3 linked regions of the Drosophila melanogaster genome follow. Changing the gene in region 1 together with any one later gene gives a genetic interaction. Each region holds a gene or a part of one and is shown in the gene's direction. Other genes may lie near its edges.

What was found.
Region 2: of Orc2 (region 1) and htt, changing one suppresses a phenotype caused by changing the other (phenotypic suppression), as found in Drosophila melanogaster (one study listed by BioGRID).
Region 3: of Orc2 (region 1) and PolE2, changing one enhances a phenotype caused by changing the other (phenotypic enhancement), as found in Drosophila melanogaster (one study listed by BioGRID).

The regions. Positions count from the first base shown.
Region 1 is NT_033777.3:13,960,492-13,968,378, forward strand, and holds Orc2 (origin recognition complex subunit 2), read left to right. Parts: upstream 1-4,393; 5' UTR 4,394-4,442; intron 4,443-4,500; 5' UTR 4,501-4,516; coding exon 4,517-5,090; intron 5,091-5,158; coding exon 5,159-6,004; intron 6,005-6,074; coding exon 6,075-6,511; 3' UTR 6,512-6,584; downstream 6,585-7,887. Other genes in the region: Kots (kotsubu), read right to left, coding at 435-586, 648-844, 905-1,659, 1,725-3,156, 3,241-3,383. UniProt on the Drosophila melanogaster protein: Component of the origin recognition complex (ORC) that binds origins of replication. DNA-binding is ATP-dependent, however specific DNA sequences that define origins of replication have not been identified so far.
Region 2 is NT_033777.3:28,691,183-28,703,272, forward strand, and holds the start of htt (huntingtin), read left to right. Parts: upstream 1-5,059; 5' UTR 5,060-5,149; coding exon 5,150-5,223; intron 5,224-5,489; coding exon 5,490-5,747; intron 5,748-5,810; coding exon 5,811-6,027; intron 6,028-6,088; coding exon 6,089-6,218; intron 6,219-9,152; coding exon 9,153-9,821; intron 9,822-10,255; coding exon 10,256-10,858; intron 10,859-12,090. Other genes in the region: snu (snustorr), read left to right, coding at 1,062-1,578, 1,640-1,788, 1,954-2,095, 2,158-2,445, 2,772-3,220, 3,284-3,344, 3,411-3,742, 3,802-3,976.
Region 3 is NT_037436.4:5,892,182-5,903,621, reverse strand, and holds PolE2 (DNA polymerase epsilon subunit 2), read left to right. Parts: upstream 1-6,186; 5' UTR 6,187-6,242; coding exon 6,243-6,948; intron 6,949-7,005; coding exon 7,006-7,877; 3' UTR 7,878-7,931; downstream 7,932-11,440. Other genes in the region: CG32413 (uncharacterized protein), read left to right, coding at 1-37, 95-205, 261-471, 530-735; QC (glutaminyl cyclase), read left to right, coding at 1,201-1,287, 1,367-1,462, 1,521-1,826, 2,062-2,205, 2,262-2,469, 2,523-2,704; CG32409 (uncharacterized protein), read right to left, coding at 2,796-2,949, 3,014-3,507, 3,565-3,817, 3,875-4,023; CG5592 (uncharacterized protein), read right to left, coding at 4,227-5,013, 5,071-5,263, 5,332-5,974. UniProt on the Drosophila melanogaster protein: Accessory component of the DNA polymerase epsilon complex. Participates in DNA repair and in chromosomal DNA replication. Has a role in the entrance and progression through S phase. Has a role in endoreplication. Essential for viability and tissue development.

The DNA.
Region 1 (7,887 bases):
TTAAGTAACAATCTACAAAAGGATTATAGCTGCTGTTTGGAAGTACGAATGCCACCACATCTGGGGTTAGCTAGAATTGTCCGTATCCCATAATAAAAAATAGATAACAAATAACAAGAATGGATGATATTTCTTCTCTCTTCTCTTAAGTGTAGCCTACTTATTGGAGTTTCTGTGCGGTAAAAACAAATTCTAGTCAATGAAACAAATTAAAGAAATTCTGTATGAACGATCAACATCTTTATATGGTGTCAAGTCTCTTAGTCGAATCACTCTGTGCTGGAATAAATGTAAGCGAATAATTGTCAAAATCATGTTCGAAAATACACTGTGGTCGAAACTTATATCGAATATCGAAATAATGTTTGAACATACACTTTTGGTGTACACTTAATGCTAAAGTCATATGAAGGAATGCGAGTTCTTAAGTTAAATTATGCAACTGGTGTGTTTAGAATAGTCTCCATATCCGGAATTGTAATGAGACGAGTATCGGGTTCAGGGCCTTTCTTAACTCCGCATAAGAATCGAATCTTACGCACAAGAAACTGCTCCAGAGCCGCAAAATTCTTTGATTTGTCGAAGCCTGCAACGAAGTGTTTATTAATGGTGATCCGGGCAAAAATTGAATGCGATTATGCGCATACCATTTATATAGCACTTTGTGACATTGACGGCAATTAGCAAATCCTGTGAAATCGGTTTCACGTGTCTCACGGCCACATATTCCGTATTTCCAAAATCGCAGAATAGAATTTTGACCATATTGTCCTTAACCTCCTGGCAGACTCCGCGATACCAGTTCTTATCTTCGCTGTAGATCGCCAGGCACAGTTCACCAACGCTGCAATTGGGATAAAGTGCGTGTTAAGAAAAGGACAAGCAAATATCGAAAGCGCATTACTTTGGTACGTAACCCGGAACAACATTGTGGTCACATGCTCCCTGACTTGATGTCAAGCTAAGGATTTTTTCAAATTCCTTGGCCGCCTTTTCGTCCTTGAAGTAGGCGGCGGTGATGTAGCCAGTTTGCGGCAATCCGTCAGCGTTCATAAGGATTAGGTTGACCTTGTCGCCTAAAGGAGCTAGATTCTTGGGCAAAGCGTCGAAAAGGAAGCGTTTAATGGGCAGAACGTGGGAAGCTGACTTTGTACTTGTCACGTCGGCAGGAAAAGGCGACTCCGGTGGAGAGGGCGGCAGTGGAGGCAGATCCAGCAGAAGTAGAGACTGTGGAGACACCTTCTGCTGTTTGTGAGTTACAACAGGCAATTGACTCGGAGTAGAAGCAGCCTTCGGTGGTGCAACTTCTGCTTTTTCCTGTACCGGTGTAAATATAAGAGGCAACATTTGGGTCGTCAAGGAGCGCGAATCGCCGGAGCTGAACAGCAGGTCCACGGTCGATGTAGTTGCATCTACCATGTTCAATTTTAGCAGTTCTTTTTGGGCGCAGAGCTTGTGCAGCATTTGAATGGCCGCATTGTTAACTGGCACAGCTGCATCCGGAATATTGCAGACATTCTGCAACTGTACACGCATCAGACATACGGGCAAATTCTCCAGGAAGCGACAGGAGCTGCGTATTTCCGCCAACTCCACCTTTTGGGTGGCACCAGTATCAACGTTCATTACTTCGAACAATCCACTATCCTTACTCAATATCTGTAAAATTCGAAAAGTTCATAGACTTTACTGATTGAAACCCTGCAACATAAATATCGACAAACCTCGCCCCGGAAGTGACCCATCTGCTTGGAGACAACGAGCACGATGCTGCCAACGGAAACATCACTAGATTTGGTAATGGTAGCGCACTTGTACTCCAGGCGCTTGAAAATTTCCGCATACTGCTTGGCGTCTGGAGTGCTGATGTATACCTCCTTAAAGCTGACCAAGTGGGAAATGAATACGATGGAATCATGGACGATGGGTTCACGCCAGTACTTGTGGCCTAAATATGAAATCTGACCCAAGAAAGTGATCAGACGGGCCATACATATCTGCTCGCCCTTGGAATTCAAGGCGGCATTCGCCGCGCGTAACTTTTCCTTGGGCGGCTTATTATCCAGCTTAAACTTGACCGTGAGTTCTGCACCTTGAGTCTCAAGCTCCTCGGGTACGGAGTCCTCCAGCTGAGCGGCAAACACTCGACTGGGCAGGCCAAGTAGTTCGCTGGGAATACGACTCAGATCGGTGGCTATGGACACTCTACCCTCGTCCATTTCGTAAACCAAATAGGTTGGCCTCGGTTTCATGATATGATCCAATAGGAAAGCTCGCCGATAACCATTTTTAGTGCGGGTGGCCGCAAAGAAGATGGATTTCTGCTCGGGGAAGGGCAGCGTGAATGGCTGTCTTGGCTTCTCGGCTATGCGGTTGTTTAAGTCTGCGTTGACATGGCCCATCACGTTGATCTGGAGTAGGGCCAGCTGCGGTTCGTTATGCTTTGGATTTGCCTTAAAGACCCGGATGACTTTGACTTCTGGATTAAGCTGCAGCATCTCCAAGGGCAAACTTAGTGGTATTATCATCTTGGGCTTTAGATGGACGTGATAAGCTCCGTCGCTGGTTTTGGTTCCCAACATACGGAGCGTCAAGTTCTTAATGTCCTGAACTCCAGTGTTCGTGGGCAATTGAACACGGAAAGCGAACGCCTTGCTTTCGGCCATCTTGGGCACAATGGTGTAGATATCCCGAAACGGTGTAGCTACTATCTGACCGTGGTCAATCATACGGACATTGGCTTCTTGCTTCTTTTGGCAAACCGTCAAAACATGACCGCGATGGACCTTGTCGCCCACACTGATGGCCACGAGGGTGTCCTCCCGCACTCCTTCCATACGAATCATCTTCTTATTCTGCATGCAGCGCTGCATGTTGACCGTCATTCGCTCAATGGCCTCCACATTCGCCACGTGCACCACCCAAATGGGTCCATCGTTCTCCATGAAAGTCACGCGGCACTTGAAAAACTCCATGCCCGACGGCAGCAAATGTTTGCGCCAGTTTTCCGATAGATCCGGCTTGTTCGGCACAGCAACTGTGGGCTCCACACATGGGATTGGCGATTTAGTGCGAGTTTTAGCCAGAGCAACTTGGTTCTCTACGCTCTGGATTGGATTCAACGCCGGTTGAAGAGGCCGGCACTCCACCAAGGGTCTGGAAACGCATTTGTATTGTATAAGAATTAAAAACCCCTAACTTAATGCACTGCTGCGCAACGGATTTACTAATTTAACTCACGGCATAATGATGCACACCTGCCTGTGCCTCTGCCAATCCAATTTCTGGCACTTTTCATTGCAGTACGGTTCTCCACACCGCTGGCACATCAATCTGGTCGGAGTGCCACAGACGACGCATGTCTTTTCCTCCGACTTTTCCATTTCTTCAATTCAAAGTAACAACGCAAGAACGTGTGAATGAAAGAACGGCGCGTTAAAGGAAACGCAGCAAAATGGCGCTAACAGAACTTTTAGCACGCGATGAAATACAAAGTGAAAATCTATTTACGCTGGACGAGAACTTTCTATGTTTTCGTTTTGAAAAAGGTGGAATCCTTTAGAATTTAAGTGCGCGATTCACAACTCACAAACATGCGATACGTTCACTAAACGCGTTTAAATTCGAAGCTCGCTGGGCACGCGCTTCAGTGCATTGAACGAACGTGGGAAGAAAGAGAACAGGACGATATCGATATCGGTTGGTTTTCGATTTACAGCGCACTGATGGAAGTAAACTTGATCGTTAATTAAAAAAGGAAAAATAAGGCTTACGAAGTTTTTAAACTTTAATTAAAACGACACAACATATGCTAAATATTCTACATATTCCAGTTACAATCAATTTCGCCAAGCCATTTTCATGGAAGTTGAATACTCTTTGAACCTGTTTGAATATATCTGAAAACGCAAATCTACTTTGTGTTATTATTTTGCCAATATAGGCAATATTATTTGAAAATTAACCGCAAGTCCATTGACGACCGCAATTCAGAATAAGAACGTAGCGTAATTTTCCCATCTTCAAATATTGTTTTTCCTAAACTTACCGATTTTAACACTTTTTAGTTTTAAAAACGTTTGTGGTTAATCCGCAAGGAATTTGTGACAGTGAAAAAATAACCGCTTTGTACGCGCACGTGTTGCCAACAAACACTTCAGCTTTTGTCAGTGACTGGATTCTAATTTAAATTTATCGATAACGTATGCAATTCTTATTCGAACAATATAGTTATTTCTAAAAACTGTGTCACGGAATTTCTTTTTGTAATTATTACCTATATAAATATATATTTATACAAATATTTATAACATTTGTGTTTTAATTGTCATGCCCCTTTAGTTTTTTTTACGCTAGAAACTTAGCTACTTCCTAGGTCGAGAGCTGGCCACACTCTTGGCATGTCTTAGTTATCGATAATTCCCGCCACTTCTGAGCATTGAGTATATTTTGCGAACTATTTGTTTACCAATTGAATATTTTGATAATCAGGGCCCCCAGTGAAGTGGCAAGCGTCATGAGTGCCAGCAACAAAGGCGGTTACAAGACGCCGCGGAAGGAGAACCTCATGTCCATTGAGAACCTCACCAATTCGGAGGAGGAATCCGAGGACTTGAACACGGCAATGGTTGGGAATGCAGTGGAATCTCAGCCCAAGGTCACCAGTCGGCGTTCCACCCGACGTCCAAGTCCCACCAAGAAATACCAGGCGTACCAGAAGGAAAGCAATGGAAAAGGCCAGGAAGAGCGAATTGTTGTGAACTATGTGGAAATGTCCGATGAACGGAGCAGCGATGCGGAGGATCAGGAAGAAGAAGAAAGCATCGAGGAGTCGGAAAATGCTGCCCGTCCCGCTGCCAAGGATCTGCATCTCATCCAATCCGAGTACAATGTGGCCGGCACCAGCATGTTTGGCTTCAATACGCCCAAGAAACGCGATGCCATGGCACTGGCCGCCCTAAATGCCACGCCCTGCACGCCCAAGACCCCAAAAACGCCGCGTTTGGGTGTCAAGACGCCGGATACGAAGCGCAAGAAGTCCATGGATCAGCCAAAGACTCCCGCCCATGTGCGCACCCGCGTCAAGAAGCGTGGGTAGCCTTTTTCTGCGTCCTTTTACCATTTTTTCCATTATTTATAAATTCATTATCACTTTCAGAGATTGCCAAAATAGTGGCCGACTCAGATGAGGATTTTTCTGGAGATGAAAGCGATTTCCGGCCCAGTGACGAGGAATCCTCCTCCAGCAGCAGTAGCAGCGATGCTGGCAACTCCTCTGACAACGACGCCGCCGATGATGAGCCCAAAACGCCCAGTAGAGCCCGCCGTGCCATTGTAGTCCCCGTTCTGCCGAAAACTCCATCGGCAGCCCGCCTGCGACAATCGGCGAGGGCGAAAAAATCGAATGAGTTTGTGCCCGAGAGCGATGGTTACTTTCACTCGCATGCCAGCAGCAAGATCCTCACTTCGGATCACACCTTGGATCGCCTAAAGAATCCTCGCCTGGCCGCCGATCGTGTTTTCAGTTTGCTGTCGGAAATCAAGACATCGGCGGAGCATGAGGGTTCTATTAATGCCATTATGGAGGAGTATCGATCGTACTTTCCCAAGTGGATGTGTATTCTGAACGAAGGCTTCAATATACTTCTATATGGATTGGGCTCCAAGCACCAGCTGCTGCAGTCATTCCATCGGGAAGTTTTGCATAAGCAAACGGTATTGGTGGTGAATGGCTTCTTTCCCAGTCTGACCATCAAGGATATGCTGGATAGCATCACAAGCGACATATTAGATGCGGGCATTAGTCCGGCTAATCCACATGAAGCAGTGGATATGATCGAGGAGGAGTTCGCACTGATACCGGAAACACATTTGTTCTTAATCGTCCATAATCTGGATGGAGCCATGCTTCGCAATGTGAAGGCACAGGCGATTCTTTCGCGCCTGGCGCGCATACCGAACATTCATCTACTGGCCTCCATTGATCACATAAATACCCCACTGTGTGAGTGCACCGATGCTTTGAGATCTTTATAGTGCGACAGCAAAACTAATTATTGTTTACGAATTTGCAGTGTGGGACCAGGGAAAGCTGTGCAGCTTCAACTTCTCGTGGTGGGACTGCACAACAATGCTGCCATATACGAACGAAACTGCGTTCGAGAACTCGCTGCTGGTGCAGAATTCCGGCGAATTGGCCCTCTCCTCGATGCGCAGTGTCTTCTCATCGCTAACGACCAATTCGCGTGGCATTTACATGCTGATTGTTAAGTATCAATTGAAGAACAAGGGCAATGCCACATACCAGGGCATGCCGTTCAGGGATCTCTATTCGAGTTGTCGCGAAGCATTTTTGGTCAGCTCAGATCTGGCACTGCGTGCCCAGCTCACCGAGTTCCTCGACCACAAGCTGGTCAAATCGAAACGGAGCGTTGATGGCTCCGAACAGCTAACCATTCCCATTGATGGCGCACTGCTGCAGCAGTTTCTCGAGGAGCAGGAGAAGAAATAGGCCATCGGCGTAATTTTAGAACATATTAATTTATTATCTAATATTGTTAAATACAATTACAATTTCGCTTTTTAAAAATGTTGTGTTGCTGTCACTTGTATTGCCCATGATGAGTGCGCAGTGTTTGTTTTCGCTCTTTTTTATTTTTTTGTCAATTTCTACACATTAAGATTGGCATGCATAAAATTTGTCGCTTTGCTCGAAGATACACATTCTAGGATGGCTAGTTTTTTTCCTCAGCTCCAGTTGCGAGCATATAGCAACACAAAACTTCACAAAGCACTGCAAGTGCTCGACGACTGCGGGGATGAGAGCGCATTTGGATACGATTTTAAGGATCAGAAGAGGCGAACTAAACATAGCTAAGCATGCCAAAAATGATAAGACTCACTACCGCCTGACCATTCCGTGCTCCTCATCCATTCCAAAGGCTAATATCGGTTACCTATTCACTATACAGACACGCACATACACAGATTAAAGCGTTGGACTTGTAACTAGTTAATTGTGCACTCGAAACGAAATGTAATTGCTGCGACTAAGGCTAGTTTATTTACACTTTCTTGATAGCAAATCACATGCGAAGTCAATCGGAAGTACACATACAATGGGGAATCGTTCATGGCTGGCTCCTATTAATATTATTTTGAGTTTATTGCAAAATTCTACCCCTTCCTGAATACCTGAATTGTACACACCGAGTTTGCGATCAGCATTTTTGCATATAAAAATGTCTTATCTCCTGCGCCGCACATTTACTTTTTCTTTAATAGTTAGATAATTGTTATCACGTTTACTTTGCTCGTCCTTTTTTTTAAGCTTCGTTTGTGGGAATGAATGGCAGAATGTGGTTCTGAATCAATCAGAAGAGAAACCACCCAAGAGAATCTCCCCTTTTACAAAATGAATCGATGCAAGAGTGTTGTTGGTTTTTCACTTTTATCGGCTTATTATACACAAATTGCTACTGCTTGCGTTTATTTCGACAATGCTTTGTTTGTTTGTTTTTATAGTTTTGTACAACAAATTAATTACATTTTGCGCTTAACAAAGAGAAACAGGCGTCTGATATTGAAATTTAGATACTTTTAGATACTTAAGAAAAGACGAGGGGAATCGAAAAACAAAAGTTCAGGCATGAATTCAGCGATGAAAAGTAAATTAAAGTTTAGAACTCGGGTAAACAATAAATTTTTACATTCTCCTCAATTTCATGGGGGAGTTCTTCGATTTTGGTGGGTGGTGGGTGCAATTAAACCTTGAATCTGAAAATTTTTTCCGAGTTTACATATACACAATATATAAATCAACTTCATTATCATATCCGTATCATTACTCATTTACTCGTTACTCATTAGTCATACTCATCGAATATA
Region 2 (12,090 bases), about 15 Mb from region 1:
CTGTATTATTAAATTTTGTTTATTTCTTGTTTTCGGCATTCTGAGTGATTAATTCAGCGATTTAATGCTGTGTCGTAACGGATTTTTATTTTATTCTCCGCCGTCTGGGCAGCAGTCTTGACCCAGTTAATAGCCTGGTTCGTTCAGCTTTTTGACCTAGGTCAGGTCGCCGAGTTAGTCATATATTTTTCGGCTTTGAACGAGTCAACGAACTGCTTTTCGGCTGTCAAAGTCAGTGCATTAGCGATTGAAGTCGATTAAAGGCTGGCCAACTACCACACAGACAGACAGACACTCCTATCCCCAGGGGCTATATTATCAGATTTTGTCTGGTTTAATTCGCTAAATGGCTCAGCACGCTAATTATAATAATAGATTCAATAAGAGGCCAAAACGTGCGACCTACGAGCTGCAATATTTTTTTTTTTCAAAGGCCGAAGACCAAACGAAAACAGACGACAAACTAACAATGCGATAATCACAATAATTCCAGCCACCAAGTTCATCATGATGATGATGGCGATAATAATAATGGGGACTAACCCCTCCCCAAAAGCACAAAAACGGGGCGGAGTCGCATTTTGTGATAGCTGCGGGCATTTCTTACATTTCAAGGTGAACATTTGGAAATAATTCAACTTGAACTGATGGAATTAGCATTGACATCGCCGCCGACATGCCACGATCGTATATATGTATATATATATCTATCCAGTTACATATATAGGCTTGTTTACGGTGGCGACAGTTTTCGTGCTGAGTTGGCTAAATGTTTTTCCCTCTTTCTGCTTGCTTTTCATTTAATCTCTTTACCTCTCTGTCACGGTTGGCTTCTTGACCTTTTGTGACCCCGTTTAATGGTCAAAAAGCGTATAAAAAAGTGACATTCAAGAAAAACTAAAAATGCTAATAAGTAACGTCTGCTTTCCAAAATAAAAAGTTCAAAAAAGATTTTATGAGACAATATATAATTATTTACACAACAAGTTTGGTTTGGGTTTAGTATGGTATATGCTCTCAACAAACACTTTTTAATTAAAATACCTTTTCTTTTTTCCCAGCTATGGTCTTCTGGGAGCCTCCGGATGTGGCAAGACCACCCTGCTCTCCTGCATCGTTGGACGTCGTTACATGGACGCCGGTGAGATCTTTGTGCTGGGCGGCAAGCCCGGCACTAGGGGATCAGGTGTTCCCGGAAAGCGTGTGGGCTACATGCCCCAGGAGATCGCACTGTACGGAGAGTTCTCCATCCAGGAGACCATGATGTACTTCGGCTGGATCTTCGGCATGGATACCAAGGAGATCCTGGAACGTCTACAGTTCCTGCTCAACTTCCTTGATCTGCCGTCGGAGAAGCGACTGGTGAAGAATCTCAGTGGTGGTCAGCAGCGTCGTGTGAGTTTCGCTGTGGCCTTGATGCACGATCCAGAATTGCTGATCCTGGACGAACCCACCGTGGGTGTGGATCCACTGCTGCGTCAGAGCATCTGGAATCACCTGGTGCACATCACCAAGGCGGGCCAAAAGACGGTCATTATTACCACACATTATATTGAAGAGGCACGACAGGCGCATACGGTGAGCGATTTAGAATTTCAATTTATATATATTTATATTAATAATATAAATATATTCTCAGATCGGTCTGATGCGGTCGGGTCACCTGCTGGCCGAGGAGTCACCCAGCGTCCTGCTCTCCATCTACAAGTGCATCAGCCTGGAGGAGGTATTCCTCAAGCTGTCCCGCATCCAAAGCCAAAAGGGCGATGTGACCCACGTGAACTTCAGGTAAGGATCTAGACTGGCATGCACCACGTGGCTAACCCGACGCAACCACTCTAATCACCACTCTGAACTCTCCACTATGACTCTCCTCCATCCGACACTCGCATGCTCGCAATCTGTGTTCCACCTCCATCTGTTTGTGGTTTTGAACTGGTTTTTCGGGAGTAGTAACAACATCTCGTTGCACGCCATGGCCTTTGGCAGCAAGATGGACAAGCCGAGTTCCAGCCAGGAGGGCGGCGTGGTGGGCCTCAACTTCCACCAGAGCAAGGAGGTGCTCATTAACGACAGCAATGGCTCCATCTACACGGTTCGTTTTGGAATATCCTTGCGATTGCTAGGGTTAATCTTAACATCTATCGCTTGCAACAGCTCAACCAGGAACCCTACAGTCCGCCGCCGTCCCGGCGCAACAATAATCCCAATGATGAGGAGAGCTGCCAGGACTGCTATTCCAACCTGTGCAAGATCACCTCCAAGGGCAAGATTCGCGCCCTGCTCACCAAGAACATGCTCCGCATGTGGCGCAACGTGGGCGTCATGCTCTTCATCTTCGCCCTGCCCGTCATGCAGGTGATCCTTTTCTGCTTGGCCATCGGACGAGATCCTCAGGGCCTTAACCTGGCCATAGTCAACGGAGAGATGAACGACACGGTAAGGGTAAGACACACATTATACACACTTTATGCACATTCCAAGTCTTAGCTTAGTATTCAAGTTAAAACTCAAACTATTGAATACCAAGTGAAATATTTTGATTAAACCACTTTTAAGATTGTTAAAAACTACACAACTATAAAAACGTAACAAAGTTTAAGATGGATTTTATTGGCATTTGATGCCATAAAATATACAATTTGAATAGCACTTAAATATAAGCTTAATTATCATACAACTATAATTAAAGACCAGCTTAACCATTTTAATGATCAAATCACTTGCACTTTAACCAATTAAAATATGATATAATATAAAAATATTTTCAGGAAAACTGCTATTGGGAGGATGGATGCCACTTCAAGAACCTGGGATGTCGTTATCTGAGTCATTTGAATACGAGCGTAGTTAAAACATATTATGAGGACCTGGACGATGCCAAAGAGGCCGTGAGAAAGGGCACAGCTTGGGGGGCGGTCTACATCAGCGAGAACTTCACGGACGCCTTTATTGCCCGAGCTAATTTGGGACGTGACTCCGACGACGAAACGATCGACTCCTCCGAGGTCAAGGTCTGGCTGGACATGTCCAACCAGCAGATCGGCGTCATGCTCAATCGGGACATCCAGTTGGCCTTCAGGGACTTCGCCATGGGCCTTCTCGGCCAGTGCGGCAGCAATCCGAAATTGGGCGACGTGCCCATTCAGTTCAGGGACCCCATCTACGGCACCATGAATCCATCGTTCACCGATTTCGTGGCACCTGGCGTGATCTTGACGTAGGTTTCATAGATATACATTTAATGGGAGAGTCATTAATGCTTTTTTCACATATTTTATAGCATTGTATTCTTCTTGGCTGTCGCTTTGACGTCATCGGCTCTGATCATTGAGCGCACTGAGGTAAGTCGAGAAAATCTATCCTCTTTTGGGAATAATTATAATAAAATTTGCTTACTTCCATTCCAGGGCTTGTTGGATCGCTCCTGGGTGGCTGGCGTCTCGCCCTTCGAGATTCTATTCTCGCACGTGATCACCCAGTTCGTGGTGATGTGCGGACAGACCACTCTGGTGTTGATCTTCATGCTGGTGGTGTTCGGGGTTACCAACAACGGCGACCTATTCTGGGTCATCGTGCTGACCCTGTTGCAGGGCATGTGTGGAATGTGCTTTGGCTTCCTCATCTCCTCGGTGTGCGAGCTGGAGAGGAATGCCATACAGCTGGCGCTGGGCTCCTTCTATCCCACCCTGCTGCTGTCTGGAGTGATCTGGCCGATTGAGGGCATGCCCGTGGTGCTGAGGTGAGTTCTTGTGGTATTACTCTGTTGTGAATGGAAATTTAAAAAATCTTATCCCCCAGATACATATCACTGTGCCTGCCACTAACGCTAGCCACCTCTTCGCTGCGCTCCATCCTCACACGTGGCTGGGCGATACTGGAGTCGGATGTGTACATCGGCTATGTGAGCACGCTGTCCTGGATTGTGGGCTTCCTGGTGCTGACGCTTCTCGTGCTGCGAGCCAAACGCGGCTAGGATCTTCAGATATTACGCTACTTTTAGATGCCTAACTTTAGAACACGATAAGTCGTCCTAATTAGTTTACACCCACTTCGGGTCTTCTTCTTAATTCCACTTTCGAGTTTCACTTCCCTTCGTATCTGCCCAAATGTCATAAATTATTTAAGCACATTCGCAGCTTTCCTTAGCTTTCCACTCGGCACTCGTTTTTCCTTAGACTAAGTTCCGCACTTTCGTAGTTTAAAGCGTAAGGTTTAGGTACTCCTAAATGAAATGTTGTAAATATTTTGTGTCACGAATTCAGTAATCCGTTGCTCTAGATGTCCATTATTTGCAACCCTCTGTACTAGACCTTTTCTCGACGCCGACACGGGCAGTTTATCACATACAAACGCAACTAATTTTATATATTTTCAATGGACTGTGATTGTTTTTTCTACATAATTCACGCGAATACACGTAGGGCAAGCCTAAACAAAAAGAAAACACAATGAAAACGAACAAAAACAATGGTGGGTTTTGTTATTAACATTAAGTAGCTTAAAGCATTTTTGTATGGGTTTAAGTTTTTTAAGGTAAAACATAATTAAATACAATAATGTACGCAACCCTAAAGAGTATGTAAAAATATATTTCAGGAAATATTTTGCGCAGAGCATAAATATTTCACAACGAACAAACATAAGACAATGAACAACGAACAAGTGAAAAACGTTCTTATTTAAGTAAATATTAATGTGAACGCAGTTATGTATAAATAATAATAAAGCGTGAATAAATAAATAAAGTTAAATTTAATTGTTGGTTTACTTACATTTTGAAAAAGATGTTCTCATTTTAACATTGGCGCCAATGCACTGTTACTGTTTTCTAGCATGTCCATAACAGTCTTTTAAATGCAGGAAATAACAACTCATTGTGACCAACTGGCTGGAATTTAATAAATATGTTATCACTTCTAATTTTCTCCAAAACTAAAAAGATAATTTAGCAGGTTAGTTCAAAATTTAAATATTTAACGATAGCTAACTTGAATACCAGGGCTGGTCGCTGGTGTTCCGCTTAAAAGCAGTTGTGCGCTCTGGTAACACTGGCGTTACAGCTGATTGAAATCATAACAAAAGAGCAATGTTTTCCTGTGTTGTTTATGCTTAAAAAGCGATTTTAGGCGTTATTAAGGACGCGAAAATGGACAAATCCAGGTCCAGTGCGTACGACAAGTTCGTTGGCTTCGTGGAACAACTGCGAAATACGGAATGCAGGTGGGACTGAACGGAAATTTGATTGTTTTCGGTTGCATTGAATGTTTTGGGGAGGGGACCGGCAACAGTTTGTTGCTCATTACGGAACAATATTGATTAAATTATGAAGCCCAGGTGATTTCCGGTGGTTTTATTGCCCTTAAGATGAACCTGCCAACTTGTTAGGCCACCCAAAACATTCATTCAACATTGAGCAATAAGTGCATCCGCTATGACGTCATGCCACATACCTGTAATAAAACTAATTTATTTCGAACCCCCCACAGCCAAAAGCAGAAGATCACCTGCTTTCAGCAGATTGCCGAGTGCATCATGTCGCCCTCGCTGGCGGGCCACATCAACTATGCCGCCCACTGCGGCACGGCCACGAATGTTCTGCTGCTGTTCTGCGAGGATGTGGATTCCGTGGTTCGGATGAGCGCCGAGGAAAACCTAAATAAAATACTGAGGTCACTCGAGAAAACCCGGGTCAGTCGCATTCTTATGGATCTGTATGGTGAAATTAAGCGTAATGGTAACCAGAGGTAAGGAGGCAAATATATTAAAGCTAAAATAACAATCTTAAAAAAGAAAAACTTTCTGCACAGATCCCTGAGGATTTGCCTAAACCTTTTCTCCTACTATGCTCCACAAATAAAGGAGAAACACATCAAGTGGTATGCCGTGAGATTGCTCCAATGTATGACCACCATTTCCCAGCGCAAGGAGACGTTGCTCCAGGAGACTCTTTGCGACTTCGTCAAGCACTTTAGCCGCCATATACAACAGGGTCTCAGCGATAGCGAATCCTGCAAACTGTTCGAGGTAGAATAATATCCCTAAACGTCTTTTCTTTTTATGTTTAAGCGTTTGTTGACTTTTGCAGACTTTTCTGGACCAAATTAGCTCCGATTGTGCCGTCAAGCGTCGTTGCTCTGCCCAAAACTGCATGAGTCTGATTGAGAATGCACGCAATAGGAGCCTCATGGCCAGACATGGGGTCAACAAAGTGATGGGTAAGACAGCTTAAATAGGAAATGAATTTCTGAGAGAAATACGAAAAATCCATATGAACACTGCATCCTTACTAGCAACTATAGCAAATGAGAAGTTCGTGAGTGCTGTTATTTACTATTAGAAAAGGAATTTAAATTCAGCAGAATGATACACTTGTTTCAAAACTCTAGGGTCAGCTGTTATTGTTATTTCGCAAAGAGTAACACCATTAAATTTAACAATATTGCAGCCTTAATAACAGCCTCTATTGTTTGTACACTTTTGGATAAACGTATTCACTATTCGCTGCTATCGCTGTTAGTTATTTAACGCATTTTCGCTACGACACTTTGTGTTCAACAGGACGCTCTTTATATTCACATCAATAATGAAAGAGATGTTTAAAAAGCGTGTAACGGCCAAATACTAAGCCTCGCATAGATCGTCATATATATACATATATTGTTAGGTTCGTGCTGGCTCTGCAGCTAAAAAATATTTTTAATATTCTAAAAAGCCGCAAATCCATGAAAAATACCTTACCAAAATGTAAAGCCATCGAACTGCGAACTACGCGAGCGCGGGAATAGATGGTTTTTGGTTTTATTCAAACTCGAATTGTGAATGCAATCACAGCCATGGGTTTGTTTGTCTGTGGCCTGTGGGCGCTAAAGGGGGCGTGGCACAATAAAAGTAACTAGACAGTTGATATAAATTATATTTCTACAGTGCTGTTGGTTACCATGCGCAATCGATGGACGAGCCATCGAATGTACGAATATACACACATATATTTTTTCCAGATTTGTTTTGATTTTAGGCAACGATAGCGGGCAGTTTTTATTTTAACATTTGCTAACTGGCGGACTGCAGCAATAACTGCAGCGGCAAAAACAAAAGTCATGGCAACGTGAGCCATGCGAAAATGCTTAAAAATTGCAAACACAAATCATTTTTTATTGAATTTTCATGAAAATATTATTGGCAAACGTCGACGAAGAGGTAAATGCACCATAGTTACGTTACATTTGCCATCGTCTTTTTATGACCTGCTGCATTGTCCAACAAAAAATTAAGTTCAAACCTCAGAGGAGCTCGGTGTTTGGCATTTGCAAACAATTGAAGTGATATACCGGACTGGGAAAACTAATTCATTTGCTAGGACTACCTTTATGGAAGTCAAAATTCTGACCTCGCCCAAGTTCATATAAATTAAGCTTCGGCTTGACTCTTCCTTTGCTCTTTTCTTGTCCAAATGTTTACCTTCAAATCAACTCCTTTAGCTCCTGTTCCGGTTTCTAGCTCTGCTCCTTTCCCTGCCGCCTACCGGTCTTCTAGTCCTGTGTCAACTTTATGCCACTTCTCGGCAAAGGCACAATGCCAGGCAACTCTTCAGCGCATCCTTATACAGTCTGGCGCCTCTTTTTATGGGCACCCATCATAGTACTTGGGCTGCCTGTGTTCTGGCATGCCCCAACAAACAGACACAAAGTACGGTGCTCAGACCTCAGAACTCAGAGCTCAGAGCCGGGATCCTAGATCCCAGACCCCAGAACACAGACCGCAGAGCCGCCCTCGCCCACGCCATCTCCGTTTGTTTGTCTCCCCGCCCGTAGACGAAATGAAATTTATGCACTTGGACACTTCCATGCAATAATTCATGCGAAATTGAATCAGATATTCATTCCTGTGCAGCTTTAAAGCGGATAATCAACGTTGTAAACAAATGCCGGCCGAACGAGGCCAGCAAAGGAAAGTCGGCAGATGCAAAGGGGAGCTGGCAAAATTTATGTTGCCCACTGACTGATGCCGAGCTAAACAAAAAGTGCAAATTATTTTCCATGGCAACTTGGTATGGCAGCACAAATGGCACAATGACCAATTCATAATCTGAAAACGCTGCTGATCTCTTTGAAAACGTACTCCATGGCCCCCAGATTGTCCACCTGGTCGAGAATGTCAAAGTAATTATTTTCATTTTGACTTCATTTTGGGCTTCTACGTGTATGACAGCTGCAAAATTAATTAATATTCAGCTACAACTGTATATTCGTTTGTGTGTGTTAAAAAATATCGAAACAATTCTTATTTAAATTGTTTGATTTGTAATCAAATAATTGATAACATTTTTCTCTCAAACTTTGGGATTACTTGATTCTGACTGTGCACTTTGCAGTTAGTAGGCCTCAAACTAAACACCTCTATTCGGGTGGCTATTAATTGCAGTCCTCGAACGTGCCCAGCATGAAGTCCCCCGATTCTCTGCTCTTTCCGTTTTGGGCTCGCCAATTTTGCAGAAAGTTCTTGCGGCTTCTGCCGCTATTAATTGATACACATGGAAACAGGCCGCAAGTTGTGCTCGGCAAAGTCACTTGGCTGCCATGAGGGCCATGTAAAAAGTTTCTCCGGCGAAAAGTGTTTTCAATTTTGCGCCCCAAAGGAAGAAAATGAAAACTAATTGAGTAACAAACTTCCAACATGGCGTTTTGTGATTGGTGGCGTATACGTAATGAAACGACAAATAAGCGGAGACAACAAGAGCAAGAACTGCGGGAGGTCGAGGACTGGGTGGTGGGTAGCGGGAAGTATGTGCATGTGTGCAGAGTCTATAAATATCAGATGGAAAGTTTTCAACGAGATAAATTTAATTGGAGGCAATTTGTTGCAAAACATATGAGAGAAAAGTTGCCAAGAACACGAAAGAAGTATGAACTGCAATTGGCCGGCCAAACGCCAAAGAAAGTGGGTAAAGGTATCTGGTACTGGTATTTGTATTGGTATTGGAATTGCTATCTGTAAATGTATCTGTATCAGATGCTCGCGTATTGCTTATTGAGCTAATTGGAATTGCCAGCACACGCTGCGCAAAAAGTTTGAAGAGCGTTTTTAATTTGTATCAACAGCAGCCGTAAGTTTCCCTCCATTAACTAACTTATCCCTATTATTTCTTGCAGAGCTCCTGCTGACGGATCAGCAAGCGAACAGCGTGCTAGGAGCCTTGGGGCTGCTGCGCCTCCTGCTGCCACAGCTTATACGCGGCTACCCCGGCGATAGCCACGAGGATTCCGAGTCCTTGGCCGGCAAGAAGCAGCAACAGCAGCAGACGACGACCTCCGACTGTCGGCAAATTATTGAAATTTATGATTATTGTTTGCACCTGCTGAGCACGCAGCACACCGCGAATCACGCCATCATAAATGCCACCCTGGAGGTCATCAACGGCATACTCCAGGCTGTGGACGCCGCATCCGATGGCCAATGTAGCCAGAGTCTGGGCCAAAGTTTGCGCCAACTGTTGTGCAATCAACAACTGCAGCACAATGAGTATTTGCGGCGAAGGAAATCATTAAAGAATCAAATATTCCAATTGAAAAATTACGAAGTGGCGACAAGTCAACACCAGCTCGAGGATGAGGATGAGAACGAGGATGTGGATGAGCTGGTGGTTGGGGCCACTGCAATGCAAATGAAAAAGAATTCAAATGCAAAACTGCAGCAGGCGAAGTGTCGAGAGCAGCAGCAGCATCAGCATCAGCAGCAACTCGAGGTTGACAACAGCTCGCTGGGAATTAATGCTGGGGAAGATGCCCCGACCGAGGCTCCAAGTTCCGTCGCTGATGAAGGTATGGCAAATAAGGCAGAATGCAAGTCGAGATGGTTTGTGGGTTTGCGTTTGGGAGTGTGTGCGCGCAGTCATGTGGAAATGTGACATGCTGACGGAGGATCAGAGGAACTGGGGGAAAAGACGGGCGTGGCAGGACAGTGAGGGCCGTGAAGACAGACGGGCAGGCGGACGGACGGGCGGACGGAACCAACAGACAGACCATGCCGAAATCAAGAAAATTGAGCAATTGCACAGGCTGATGGAGACGCCCACACACAATGCACATATGAAAATTATTAGTGCATGCTTTTAGGCGGCGGCACATGCAGGAACGAGGTCAGGCCAAATTTGCATTTGCATTTGCCGCCAGCGGAATCCTGCACAAATATTTACACAAATTGTAGGGCTAACCCATACCCGAACTCATGCCCACACCATTTTTGCATTTTCCAGGGGGAGAGCCGGAGTCAACGAAGCTGCGCTGCCACATTAGGAATGCCGCACGCAGCATCAGCGAATGCGTTGCCTCGGATGAGGACAAGCAGGGGCAAGGACACCGGCAGCAGCGGGACGAGGATGGTGTCGTAGTGGCGGAGGATGATGATGATGATGATGATGATGATGACGACGACGACGACATGGAGCTGCTGAGTGCCGAGTGTGATGACTTTACAACCCTGTCGCAACTAAATGAACAACAACAGGCGCTGTCAGCGGCATTGAAATTGCCCACAACAACAGCAGCATCATCAGGCGGAGCAGCAACATCGCAGGACGATAAACTGATTGATGTTGATGCCGATGTTGGGGGGCTGCCTAAACCGCAGCATCAGTCATCTTTGCAGAATCTGCTCGCCGGCAGCGATGACAAATCCCAGCATTTGAGTGACATCGACAATGAATCTTTCAACAGCATCGATTTCGATGCCGAAATCACAATTGCCGGCAGCAAAGAGCAGCAGCAGCAACATCCACCGGCGGATGATTCGGTGGAATCCGGCGATGCAACAGCAATTGGCACATTCTTCAACAATCTGCTGTCGCATTCCAATGCAGGTGAGCCAGCCATAACTGTGATACGATATTCCATTTCGTGCAAATATTTCATTAGCAAAGTTCAAAGTTAGCGGAGCAAGTTCAAAACTATTTCCATTTGATGTTATTGCATTTCACGGTCTACCGCAGTCGCCACCAAATCCCATTTTGCCCACAATTTTGATTTTTGCTTTTGTTTCTTTTTTTCTTTGCGCCAAACAATTGTGCATCTATTTGCAATATTCGGGTGGCATTCGATGGCATTATTTGCATAATTGCGACCGCGCTGCAGACGTGACTCGCAGCCAAGCCAATTGCACTTGCGAATTAATGAAGCGTAATTGTTGCCGGGTTGTCGACTGAAATTAGGCAATTCGTGCACAAGGATCTCGGCTCCTGAAGAAGAAGGATGTAGGATGTAAAGTGCAAGTCTGCGAAGTTATTGATTTTAGTGTATTTCTCATTGAGCTTAAAATTTGACCCAATTAGTATTGTGTTTCTCGTTCTCAGTAGCTCACTTTAGGCTAAGTTGTTACTTAAGTTAATTTAGTTTACACTTTATTATGATACTTATTTCTCTCCGTGCACTTAAGATGCATCTTGTTGTTCACTTCGTTGTCTTCAGTCCAAATGGGCAAACAAAGCTCTGCATCCTCGATTCTAATGCTATTTGCTGACATTTCGATCCCGATTGATACGACAATCAATCGTTGATATAATTTATTTTAATATTTAAATCGCTCGACTGCCTGACTGTGTGGCATCGACTCGGAATAACGAGCACCATAAGTATGCCACACTTTTCCCCTGACCTATAAATGGAAATGAAGGAAGAGCGACGACTGGCAGACATGATGCCAGACCCATGTCCTGTCGTTAGCTAGTGCGCGGGGTGGAGGCTAGTAATAAACAAAGGAAATGTACTGCACTGAGCCGGAAGTACTAATTAAGCGAATGAGTGGTGGGCGGGGCATAGAGAGTCCTGGACGGGAGGGGAATAAAGACAACCAACTGGATGGGCGAAGGACGAGATGGGGTGCGTATAAAAACCCACATCCACTTGACGTAAATGTTGGGCTTAAATCCGGCATTTCTTGTGTGTGTAAGTCTCTGCGAGGGATGCGGATTAAGCTTGAAACATGGCAATGCATTTGCGCTGTGCGATGGCCCCAAAACTCCCTCTGCCCTCACCTCCATCATCCTCCCGCACGCCAACCTCATTGCTGGTTTTCTTGTGCCGCCACTGCCACTTG
Region 3 (11,440 bases), on another chromosome or scaffold:
AGATAGGTGGTCTGAAAAAAAGTCCGTGGGACTGGCTGTAAGTAAGTCATAAACTTGCGTTGCAACTATTTAATTATAAAATAGGACTTTAAAGTTTATCTTCTTCGACGGGCACAATTCCTTAAGCTCAGATCCTTATGACGAAAATGAACTTTTGGGCGCAACACACTTTATAGATGAAGAATTTATACCTTTGCGCGACATGGTAATATATCAAAATGCATAATCTTTACTTGTAGCCCATATTAATCTTTAACTAGGCTGTTGCAGTAACTCTCAGCTATATTGGCGCGCCAAATCAAACCTTTTTGAGCTTCTTTGAAGTTACCAATGATTTGCACAACCTGATTGCTGACATCGAACAGGATCTCAGAAAATCCGGAGAACTCGACGACTGTCATGTGTTATTCCAAAAGAAAACACATTACGACAAAGATCTGCTTGACGATCATATTGTATTCGACGAACAAGGTAATATCATAGTTAATTTTATACTACTATTTTATAACGTGTATTTGTTCATCTATAGATGTGCCAGTCATTCATGTGAGTCCACATGAATTTCCAAATGTTCTTTATACGCCAGCGGACAATGTCGAGAATCTACACTATCCTACCATTCGCAATATGATCAAAATTATTCGCTGTTTTGTGCATGATTTCTATGAAAAGTGGCAATACTTTATGAAATGGCGACAAGCTTTTGCAATAAATTATGATTTTTATGATGACTAAATTCAATTAGATTACATTTTTTATAAAACATATATAGCATTAAAAAGTGACTAATTCCCAAAATGTATATTATACACCTAAAATAACTTTCGAATGAAAACTTTGGTTTAGTATGAGACATTTTAAACTTAGTGTTCATTCTAGACTTTAAGTGCATAGTCACTAAACGTACACTAATGTAATTAAGGTAATTATCGTTATCAGCACCAATTAGTCGGCTCACTTTTCCCCAACGAACGCGGCTTTAAAGCTTTTTGCATTTACCGCAACATCAACATGATTCACTCTTAAAAACTCTCTTGAACGAAGGTTCAAAGCTTTCGAAGTGAGTTTGCCGCCAAAGAGGCAGCGGAAAACGAAAACAAAAGCCATCAGCATCGGAAACCACAACATCAACTACGGTAAAGATCGATTTTTCAGCCACCGATCGGGCTTTAGTGCGTCGCCGAGCTCTGAAGCGTATAGATGGCGATCGGTTCCGTAGTTTTTGCCGCCGCAGGCTTGCTGCTCCTCCTCCTCCCGCCGTCGCATCAGCAAGCGACAGCGGGAAACGTAAGTACCCCAAGCATTGTGACTCACTTGGGAAACCAGGCATTGTTAGGTTAACCAGAGAGACCCATCTATATTCCAGATTGGATCCCAGTGGCGCGACGATGAGGTCCATTTCAACCGCACCCTGGACTCCATTTTGGTGCCACGCGTCGTTGGCAGTCGGGGACATCAGCAGGTGGGTGATAAAGCTTCAAGTGTATTACTTGGCGTTATAATATTAACATTTCAAACAGGTGCGCGAGTACCTGGTCCAATCGCTGAACGGCCTTGGCTTCCAAACGGAAGTGGATGAGTTCAAGCAGAGAGTTCCAGTTTTCGGCGAACTCACGTTTGCCAACGTAGTGGGCACAATCAATCCCCAGGCTCAGAACTTTCTCGCTCTGGCCTGCCACTACGACAGCAAGTACTTCCCCAATGATCCCGGCTTTGTGGGCGCCACTGACTCCGCCGTGCCCTGTGCCATTCTGTTGAACACCGCCAAGACCTTGGGCGCGTATCTGCAGAAAGAGTTTCGCAATCGCAGCGATGTGGGACTTATGGTAAGTTGCTTACTTAGTGCCCATTAACACAGACCTTGGTGGCTAAATAAATTTTCCATGAACTCCAGTTATACCAAACCTGAGCGAAAACAAGTTGCATGTTTGGTATTCAAATCTCCATTTGAAATTAGGCATACGACATTAGTATTACATTGAAAAAGTTGATTTATGTTAATAAGATCTAGTAGAGAATTTTTCCTATAGTTATTGAAAATCCAACCTTCTTATCCACCAGCTCATATTCTTCGATGGCGAGGAGGCCTTTAAGGAGTGGACCGATGCGGACTCTGTATACGGATCAAAGCATCTGGCCGCGAAGTTGGCTAGCAAACGCAGTGGTTCCCAGGCGCAACTAGCTCCACGCAATATAGATCGAATTGTAAGTCAATGACCTTTGCGAGAATTATCAGCTTGCTAAGATTGTATCAATAACAGGAAGTTCTGGTGCTGCTGGATCTAATTGGGGCGCGGAATCCCAAGTTCTCCAGTTTTTATGAAAACACCGACGGACTGCACTCCAGTCTCGTGCAGATTGAGAAATCTCTGCGCACTGCCGGCCAGCTGGAGGGCAATAACAATATGTTTTTAAGTCGTGTCAGCGGTGGTCTAGTCGACGATGATCATCGACCGTTTTTAGATGAGAGTAAGTTTGATGTCTTTAGTGTGTATCCATAATCACAGACGTTTTCCATACAGATGTTCCTGTGCTGCATTTGGTAGCCACTCCTTTCCCAGACGTCTGGCACACGCCTCGGGACAATGCCGCCAATCTGCACTGGCCTTCCATACGCAATTTCAACCGTGTTTTCCGTAATTTCGTTTATCAATACCTTAAGCGGCACACGTCACCAGTGAATTTGCGTTTTTACCGAACATAGTTTATGTTTTGTCTTATGGCTAAGATTTATTAAGCATAAGTGTAAAGTGTTTTTCGTTAATTAAAGTGTCCTAAGGCATGTGTAATTCTTCCTAGCGACGTTTGCGACCGGCTTGCGCCTTCTTGCCCGGAGCCCTTTGACCACGATTGCCCTTGGACTTCTTGCCCACCGCCTTGCGACTGCCCTTGCCCTTGGGCTTCTTGCCGCCCTTCTTGCCTGGTTCATTCTCAGCCTCTGCTTCGCGTCTGTTGAGGAAATAAAGGTTTAAGCTTTAGACTATGCTCATTTAACGATAAAGGTTAAACTTACGCCAAGCGATTGTCGCGCTTCTCCATCGATACCGCCTTGCTCACGTCCAGTTTGGGCTTCTTGTTCAGCACGCTCTTGATGAGATCCAGGTTGGCCTCCTTCTCCGGCGTTTGTGTGATATGCGACTGCTTGCGTTTGCCGCCGGGAATCAGCTCTTTAATGCCCAGACCACGTGCCTCCTTCTCCTTGGGCAGTTTGTTTTGGAATTTGCCGACTGAGGCTGTGGAGGATTTGGCCACAGTGACGGCCGTTAACAACTGGCTGGATGAGGCAGCCTCGGGTCCCAAGTAACCGCTGCGTGGCATGTCGATCTTCTTGGCGCGCACAATGTTCTTCATCCGCTGGATCTCATTCTTGGCCACCTTCTCGTTGCGCAGGTCGATCTTCTTCTGGAACATGTCCGTATTGGGATCGGCGTTCTGTGGCACCTCCAGCACCCAATCCTTGGCCTTCTCGGCCTCGGCACGCTTAAAACCATATGTAGGCACCCATTTCTATAAAGATTCAAGGTTTAGATTGTGACTTGACAAGATTAAAGAGCAAAAACTTGCATCCATGGTCTCATCGTAGGTCTTCTTGTCCTTCTTCTTCTTGCTGATACCCTTCTCCTTGGCGAACTTCTCCCATTTGGTGAGCGGACGTGGACCTGGCGGCTTACGGAGGCGGGGCAGTACCGTCGTGGGTTCCGGCAGCTTGGCCACAATGCTCTCGTCTACCCGTTCGGTGGGCAACTCCCAAATGGCATTGACCAAAAGTTGGGTGTTCTCCCGTGTCAGTGCGGTCAGGTACTCCTCTTTGTTGTCCCTAAAAACAATGGAACTGGTGAAAAATCAGTATTCCTCGCTAGAAACCGCCGCTTACCTCAATTCCCGGTCATCGAAATCGTTGGGATCTGTGATCAGCAGGCTGCCAACGTCGAGTCGGCATTCCAAATGCTTTTCTACTGTGATCGGCTTGTATTTGTCCAATTCCTTTTGGTGTTTGGCCAGAACTTCTTTAACAACATCCATTTTCAGGGAATTAGCGTATAAACAGCAAAATTCAATTCCACGTGCTGACAACTGTGACCATGCACTAGATTTAACGAATAGGCTAAAAAATACTAAATAAATGTACCAAACTCGCACCGAAGACTCAAACCTTGCAGGGAAACTTGGCTATATACTTATCAGTCTATCGGCGCCATTTCAAAATAAGTTTTTAAATTAATTTTTTAAAGATCCTCGTTTATTTTACGATCTCTACAACGTAACGTCCAGCGCTTTTCCGCCTCGTCCAACGTTTGTGGCATCGTAGCTCCCTTGGTCTCCGGCAGAAACAAGATTATTAAAGCGCCTATCACGGACACCAATGTGATAATAAACATGGGCAAGGGACGATAGTAGCGGTGGGTGCTGAGTACAAGTGGTGAGAGTAGGGCACCCATCTGACCCATAATATTGATAATAGCCAGTCCCTGACCGCGCAGCACGGTTGGCAGTATCTCAGAGGCCCACTGTTGACCCACATTGTAGGCCATTGTGGCGAAAAATCTGGCTGCAATCGCTGCCGTTGATGCATTCCAATGTCCTTTTAGAATACCAACGAAGAGACTGGATGCTGCACACAATAGCATGACAGCCGACATCATGGGCTTGCGACCAATTCGATCTAGCAAAAGCATTGGTACGATTCCAGCAGGAATTTCAACGAGCGAGGAAAGGGAAAAGGTTATAAATATATCTGTGTCCAGGATTTCGACTACGCGAACATGGGCATCGTATGCTAGGGCCACAGTCATCCATGTGACAATCAAAATCGTTAAGACGACGAGCCTGGGAAATGTCTTAAAGAGATCCAGACTGGTGTACTGCTTTCCCAATTGCTCGTTGGCAAATTTAAGTTCATAGCATTCCCGCATCTCGGACCAAACCTCTTCGGAAATGATTTTTCCATTGGCTTTGGCCGCTTCTTTCATGACTTCAATACACCGGTCCACTTTACCCACCGACATAAGCCAACTGCAGTGGGAAATGAAGTTTAGATAGCTTGAAAACCTATTGTTATCATTAATTTACCTTGGTGACTCTGGAGCCAGCAAGCTGGTCAATATCATGAATACAATTGGCAGGGCAACGACCATGGCATAGTGCCTCCAATTACTGATGACATAGGCCAGCCAGGGAAGCAAGCAGGCGCCCAAGGTGAAGAAGAATGTGAGGGCTAAGTTCCCCACCAGTGTGCGATACTTGATGCCAACGTTCTCCAAAGCTGTTGAAAAGAATGTGATGATGATATTTAAATTTATGATTTATGTTAATTGACTCTGCAACACTCACTTAGAATATAAATGGGAACGAAGCAGTAGTTCATTGACAGTCCAGCCACAAATCGGCTGGCAGCAAAGCAGGGAAAGTCCTTGCAGACCACACTTACGCAACCGCCGATCATGGAACAGGAGTTGGCCAGAAATAGTGCAGGCAAGCGACCGGAATGATCGGTTATGAATCCAAAGCAGAGGCAACCAACAATACAGCCCACAAAGTAGACAACGACGCTATATGTCCCGAAATCCCTTTTGTCGCACACCCAATTGTACTCGGTAGCGATGGACTCGTAGGGCACCTCCTTGCGATCATAGATCCAACCATTGTTGCAAGGTATCGGGCTCCTTGTCTGATTCGCATCGTTGGTCGCATTTGAGTCGTAGGGCACATTGTACATAAAACAATTCTCGAAACTGCCATCTTGCTTTTTGGGGATTCCCCGATTCTTTTGTTCACTTTCCGGCAGTCCCTCTAGTTCTCGTACTCTGCACCAGTGATTCTTTGGCAACAGTATCATAAATATCTGACCAAAGTAGGTGAATGCGAACAGAAAGGCGGCGGGCATCATCCAAAACAGCAGTCGCTTCTGAAAGGGGCCAAAGTCCCCAATGAACAGCAAGAAGTTCTCATACTTTTCACAATCTCTGGGGGGCATTTCGACATTTAATATTATAAATATGTACTAAACAAAAGCCAACTTCTTTAAAGCCCTCTTTTTGAACCTTAAATAGTTAAATATATGTTATTTTGAATAAACCATTCAAATATCAACTTTTTGAACTCCACTTTTTTCCGCCAATTTTCGATTACTTTCTAGGCCTTCTATTTTAGCTTCATGTTCGGCTGGTCACACAAATGCACATAGATATCGATAATTGACAACATCCATATCTAATTTGCGCGCGAAAAAACTTTTAATAACAATGGATGTGGATTTACTGCCGCTGAGAAAGCGAATAACAAACACCTTCAAGCTATGTGGATTCCTGATCCGCTCGGAGAACAGTTCCTACCTGGCGGAGCAGCTGCTACCCTTTGACGCAGCGGAACGGGACAAATGGCTGACGGTGATCACCGAGAATCTCCAAAGCCAAAAGCTTTTGACGCCTCATGTGGAGCGAGCCGCCCTGGAGAAGGCCATCAATGAACTTAACCGGGTGGGATTGGATGAAGGGGAGACGGTCTTTGCCCTGATCGATGCCTTTACGGTGCCCCGTTTTCGGTACAACCAGCGGATAAAGAAATTCGAACTGGACACTCAGCCGCGCCAGTTGCTGACCGCCCCGCGCATGAAATCGGACTACATGCAGCAACGATATGCCATGTTACTACAGAAAACTCTGCGACACGATCTCTTTGCCCCAGCCGTCATACAGGATGGCGTTGGGGCCGAGGCCCAGGCCAAGAAATTTAAGCTCCAGTTCGCGGAGAACCTGCTGGCCACGTCGGCGATGAAGGAGGCAGTTGTTTTGGGGCTACTTACCCAGCTTAAAGAGGGCAAGTTCTATGTCGAGGATCCCACGGGTTGCGTCCAGTTAGATCTCACTGGAGCCCGTTTCCATGCCGGCTTCTTCTGCGAGGGCTGCTTTGTTTTAGCCGAGGGCAACTATAACAACGGTGTGCTCAAGGGTAAGTAGCCCAAAGTATTTAATAACTACATCTCAAGAGTTTCTTATGTTTCCCCAGTTGATGGCCTGGGCTTTCCACCTGCGGAACCGGCAAACAGCAGTCGAGCATTTTTCGGCACCGCCAACACTTGGGGCGGTGAATCTGCTAAGCTGCTGAAGTACTCAGCCGGACTACAGGAACTGGAGCGTACCAACACGGAAACAACCATTGTTTTCCTTTCCGACGTTCGGTTGGATCTGCCGGTTGTCATGGAGAAGCTGCGCCAGTTGTTCGTGGGCTATGATTCCTGTCCGCCGCAGGCTATAGTGCTCATGGGTCCCTTCACGGCCAGCACAAGGAATCATCATGAACTGAGGCATCACCTGGATGCATTGGGTGGCTTGGCAGCTGGCTGCGAGCAGCTGAAGAAGCAAACGGATCTGATACTCGTTCCCTCGTCCGAAGATCCCACGGCACCTAATATTCTGCCCCGTGCTCCAATTCCCGAATGCCTGGCAGCCGGGCTGCTAAAGGCCTGGCCACGCACCCAGTTGGCTACGAATCCGTGTCGCCTGCAGTACTGCACCCAGCAGATTGTGGTCTGCCGTCTGGATTTGATGGCCAAGTTTTGTCGCAACACCTTGCATTTTCCTGAAGACACGTCCCAGATCGAGCAGCATTTTGCCAGAACGATTGTGTGCCAGGGTCATTTGGTGCCCATTCATCCGATTGCCATGCCAGTGCACTGGGACTACGATCCTGCTCTGTGGTTGTATCCACTGCCGGATCTGATTGTCATGGGCGATTCGTGTCAGAGCTTTAGCAGCAGTCAACATGGCTGCACTGTTCTCAATACCGGCTCCTTTGTCAAGTCCAAGTTCGCATTCAAAGTGTATATACCAGCGACGCGAACGATTGAGGACTCGGAGATACCGGACGAATTGGAGTAGTTATGATATAGTTAACCTTAACGTAAGTTTGAATAATTATTTAATTACATATGTCGATTACTCTTTGGATTTCGGGCTATTTGGGCAATTTTTTTTTTGTTTTAAACAACTGCAAGCCTATATTTAGAAAGAATACCATCAATTTAACAATTTGGATATAAACTTCTTTCGGGAGCTTAGCTCACTGCGACCTCACATGTTGCTTGGCCCGCCAGCTCGAAACATTTTTCGGCACCCAGTGCGTGTGGCTGTTCCCTCGTGATAAGCGGCCCAGTCTCATCATCACCGTCGTCAGTCATCATATGCGCACAGCATGTGTTCCACAATCGTCTCCTGGCTGTGCGGCTGACGCGCCTCGCAATCTGCTTTTTACGGCGACCGGGGGTTGTCTATTACTTTTCATGACTTAAAGCCGATTTGGAAAAATATTGTTACTCTGCCCGATGCCGGCCACTTAGGGTCGTGGAAATTCAATTTCCCAGGCTGGCGCGCAACTCCTCGGCAGCTGAAACGGCAATTTTGATAATGCGTTTGACCTGAGGACATCGATGGCCCCCATTTGCTGTCACATGACCAGTTGCCGAATCGTTTTTTTAAGACATCATTAGCCGGGTAGGATGTGGAAGTGGGGAGGTTTTTTTTTCCTCCTGCCGAACGGCTCGAAGCGTTTTGCTCTCCTATTGATTTATGATTTATGAGTGCAACTTGGCTAGTTGTATGCCGCACGTCCCTGGGATCAATTTCCAAAATGTGTCCACCATGAGTGTCAATTCGATTTGGTGGGCGTGGTCAGCCTTGGGTGCTAACTATATTTTCATTTTATCCCTTCGAGTGTTGAACATTTATATTCCTCTGTATACATGGTTTCTCTCCAGCTCCTCAATGCAGAAAGGCAGATTCAAAATGCTTGCTGTGCGACAGCAATCTTGCTTCTGCTTCATTTAACTGGTAACATTGGCAACTTTTGAAATTTAAATATTGTTTTGCGGTTGCTCTGCAACTTGGCCGCAATAACATAAAAAAGAAAACATTTTATCTGTTATGGTCATCGGTTTTTATGGCATTCTCCCCGCAAAGTTGACACCATTTAATTTGGAGCTCAGCTTGATCCCCGCCCACCAGACTTTGGGACTCGATTAAAGCAATCGCTGATGCGGAATCCGTGAATCTGTGTCTTGGCCATCAATCACTCGACCAGCTGCGCCCCAAGTGGGCCTGGTCCAATCAAGGATCAAAGCAACTGGCCATCATATCCCACCTTAGGTTATCCTTTTGCACACACACACATGCTTGGCAATCAAACGGCGATGCACTCATGTGCATGTCCTGTGGTTATTTGACAATTGTTAACCCGTCTCTGGGCTTTGTTCGACTGATTCCTCGGTGTTGCCAAGTGGCCATATGCCAAGCGTCCCCTGGAAATCCATCCGGTAATCCTCGACTTGGTGGTGTGATTTTGATTCGGCAAAATATTTCAAACTGGGGTGGCTATAATCGTTCTTCGCTGATACCCTTTCGATGGAGTATGGAAATAATTGTGTGATTTTTCCAATGGAGTCCTGTTACAAGCATAAATACAAGCTGGCTATTCAAATAAATAAAACATTAATAATCTAAAACTACTCATAGTAAAGCACATGTACAATTTCCGTAATGGTAAAAGTTATTTTTATTGATATTAGCAGGAAATCATAAAACCCAACTTGTATTTGATGTAATTTTTTTAAAAATTCGTGTGGCGTTTACTCTATATCTTAATATAGAGCATTTCGATTTATTACCTCGTATGTAACATGCATATATAATACCATTTTAAAAACCCTTCGAGGGCATGAATATGGCAATATTTTTAGCGCATATGGTCAAAGGTTTTGCGTGGCTTTTGCTTTGAAACCACAACGTCAACTGGAAAATCAAAAGCTCGCCTTTGTTTATGAACCCATTCTTTTGTTTGCAACCATTGATACTTGGAGGGTTTATTAACTTTTTACGAACTCAACAATGAGCTGCATCCTTATAGCTGCTGTCGGCATTCAAAATTTGATAGGGTTATCATCAACATTGTGTGCAGTCCTAAAACACGCGGCAAAGTGCACTTTGTGGGTGGAATGAGTAAACGAAGCTGAAACTGCGTATATAAATCCGCTCCATAAACTCCACTGTGAATATATGACAACAATGTATCAATGTATCAACTTAAGCCCCGGACGGTCGGCGCTCTGGAGTCCGGACGTGTGCCGACATTTACGCCTCAATTATCAGCCGCAAAGCAAACACTGGGGGTCACCACTCGCCATCGCAAGGAGGCGATAATTTGCTGGCCATAAGCTGCTCCCACACATGGTGTAGTTGTAGCAGGCCTTGGACCACCCAGCGTGTCCGGCCATTCAATTCAATCCCAAGCGATCTGAGCCAAGTCGATTCGGTCCCGGAGTAGCAAGTGACACGTGGCGACCATTAATTTACGCGTTGGCTTTATCTGCGATTTGCTTGCGCATTCTCAGCCAGTCCAGGGATAAATCCACTGACTTCGGTAGTCCTGGCCACGTGCCAGAGTTGGCAAATCAAATGTTTTTATTATTTAAAGCGACAAACGGCGACGCCGTTTTATTGTCTTCCTTAAGCCGATAACAACAACTGTCTGCCTGTGTTTGCCGGTGGAAGTTGGTGGCAGGACAAATTACAAGGCAGCCGCATCCTGACCGCCATTGTCCTTGGATGGGATAACGAATTGCACCTTGGGGACACCGCTGCTGCTTGTTCCCTTTGTGTCTTAATGAAGCAACTGGCATGTGATAAATTTTAATTGATTTCATTTGCGTCTCTGCGGCTTTTGTCCTGGCCACTTGGCTGCCGGATAAGGATCCGCGGGTAAGCGCAGCTCATTAGCCAAGGAAAATGCATCTAGATAACACCTAGATGTTTGACATAATTGAATTTGGCTCCTAAGCTCTCCTGCTAATGATTCTAATAATGTTTTCCTCAAACGAATGACACTCACCAGAAAGGAATTAAAGAAACTGCTCATTGGGAGCTTCTAAACTCTAATACGTTGTATAAACGAATGCTATGAAAAAGCTATTAAAAGTATTCTTTTCAGATTTTATTCTTCGAAATTTCCTCTGAATCAGTCGAATCTTATCTGGTGATTTTACGTTCGATTTTCTGTTCATATTTTCAATTATTGGATTCGTGCTTTCTTTTATATTAGTACCTTTCAATTTGATTCACTATTTAAGCCCTTTTTTATCATTTTTTTCTTTACCAGTTTTCGGTTACATATTTCAAATTGATTGCATTTAAATTAAAACTCAGCATAAATCACCTGAGTGGGCAGGACTCTCCCACGCTCGACAGGACACCAGTGGCCATTGGACAGTAAGACAAAAGCTCCAATTCTGCAGCCGTGTCAGCACAATGGCACAGGCGACATAAGCCGATTTCAGGGATATCTCTGGCCCGGCTCCACTTTCCACTTCCCAGTGCCCCCCCGAAAATGGTTCGAATATTATCATCAACGCACAAGTGGCTTGTACTTGTCACACACCGTAACCCAAGCCCAT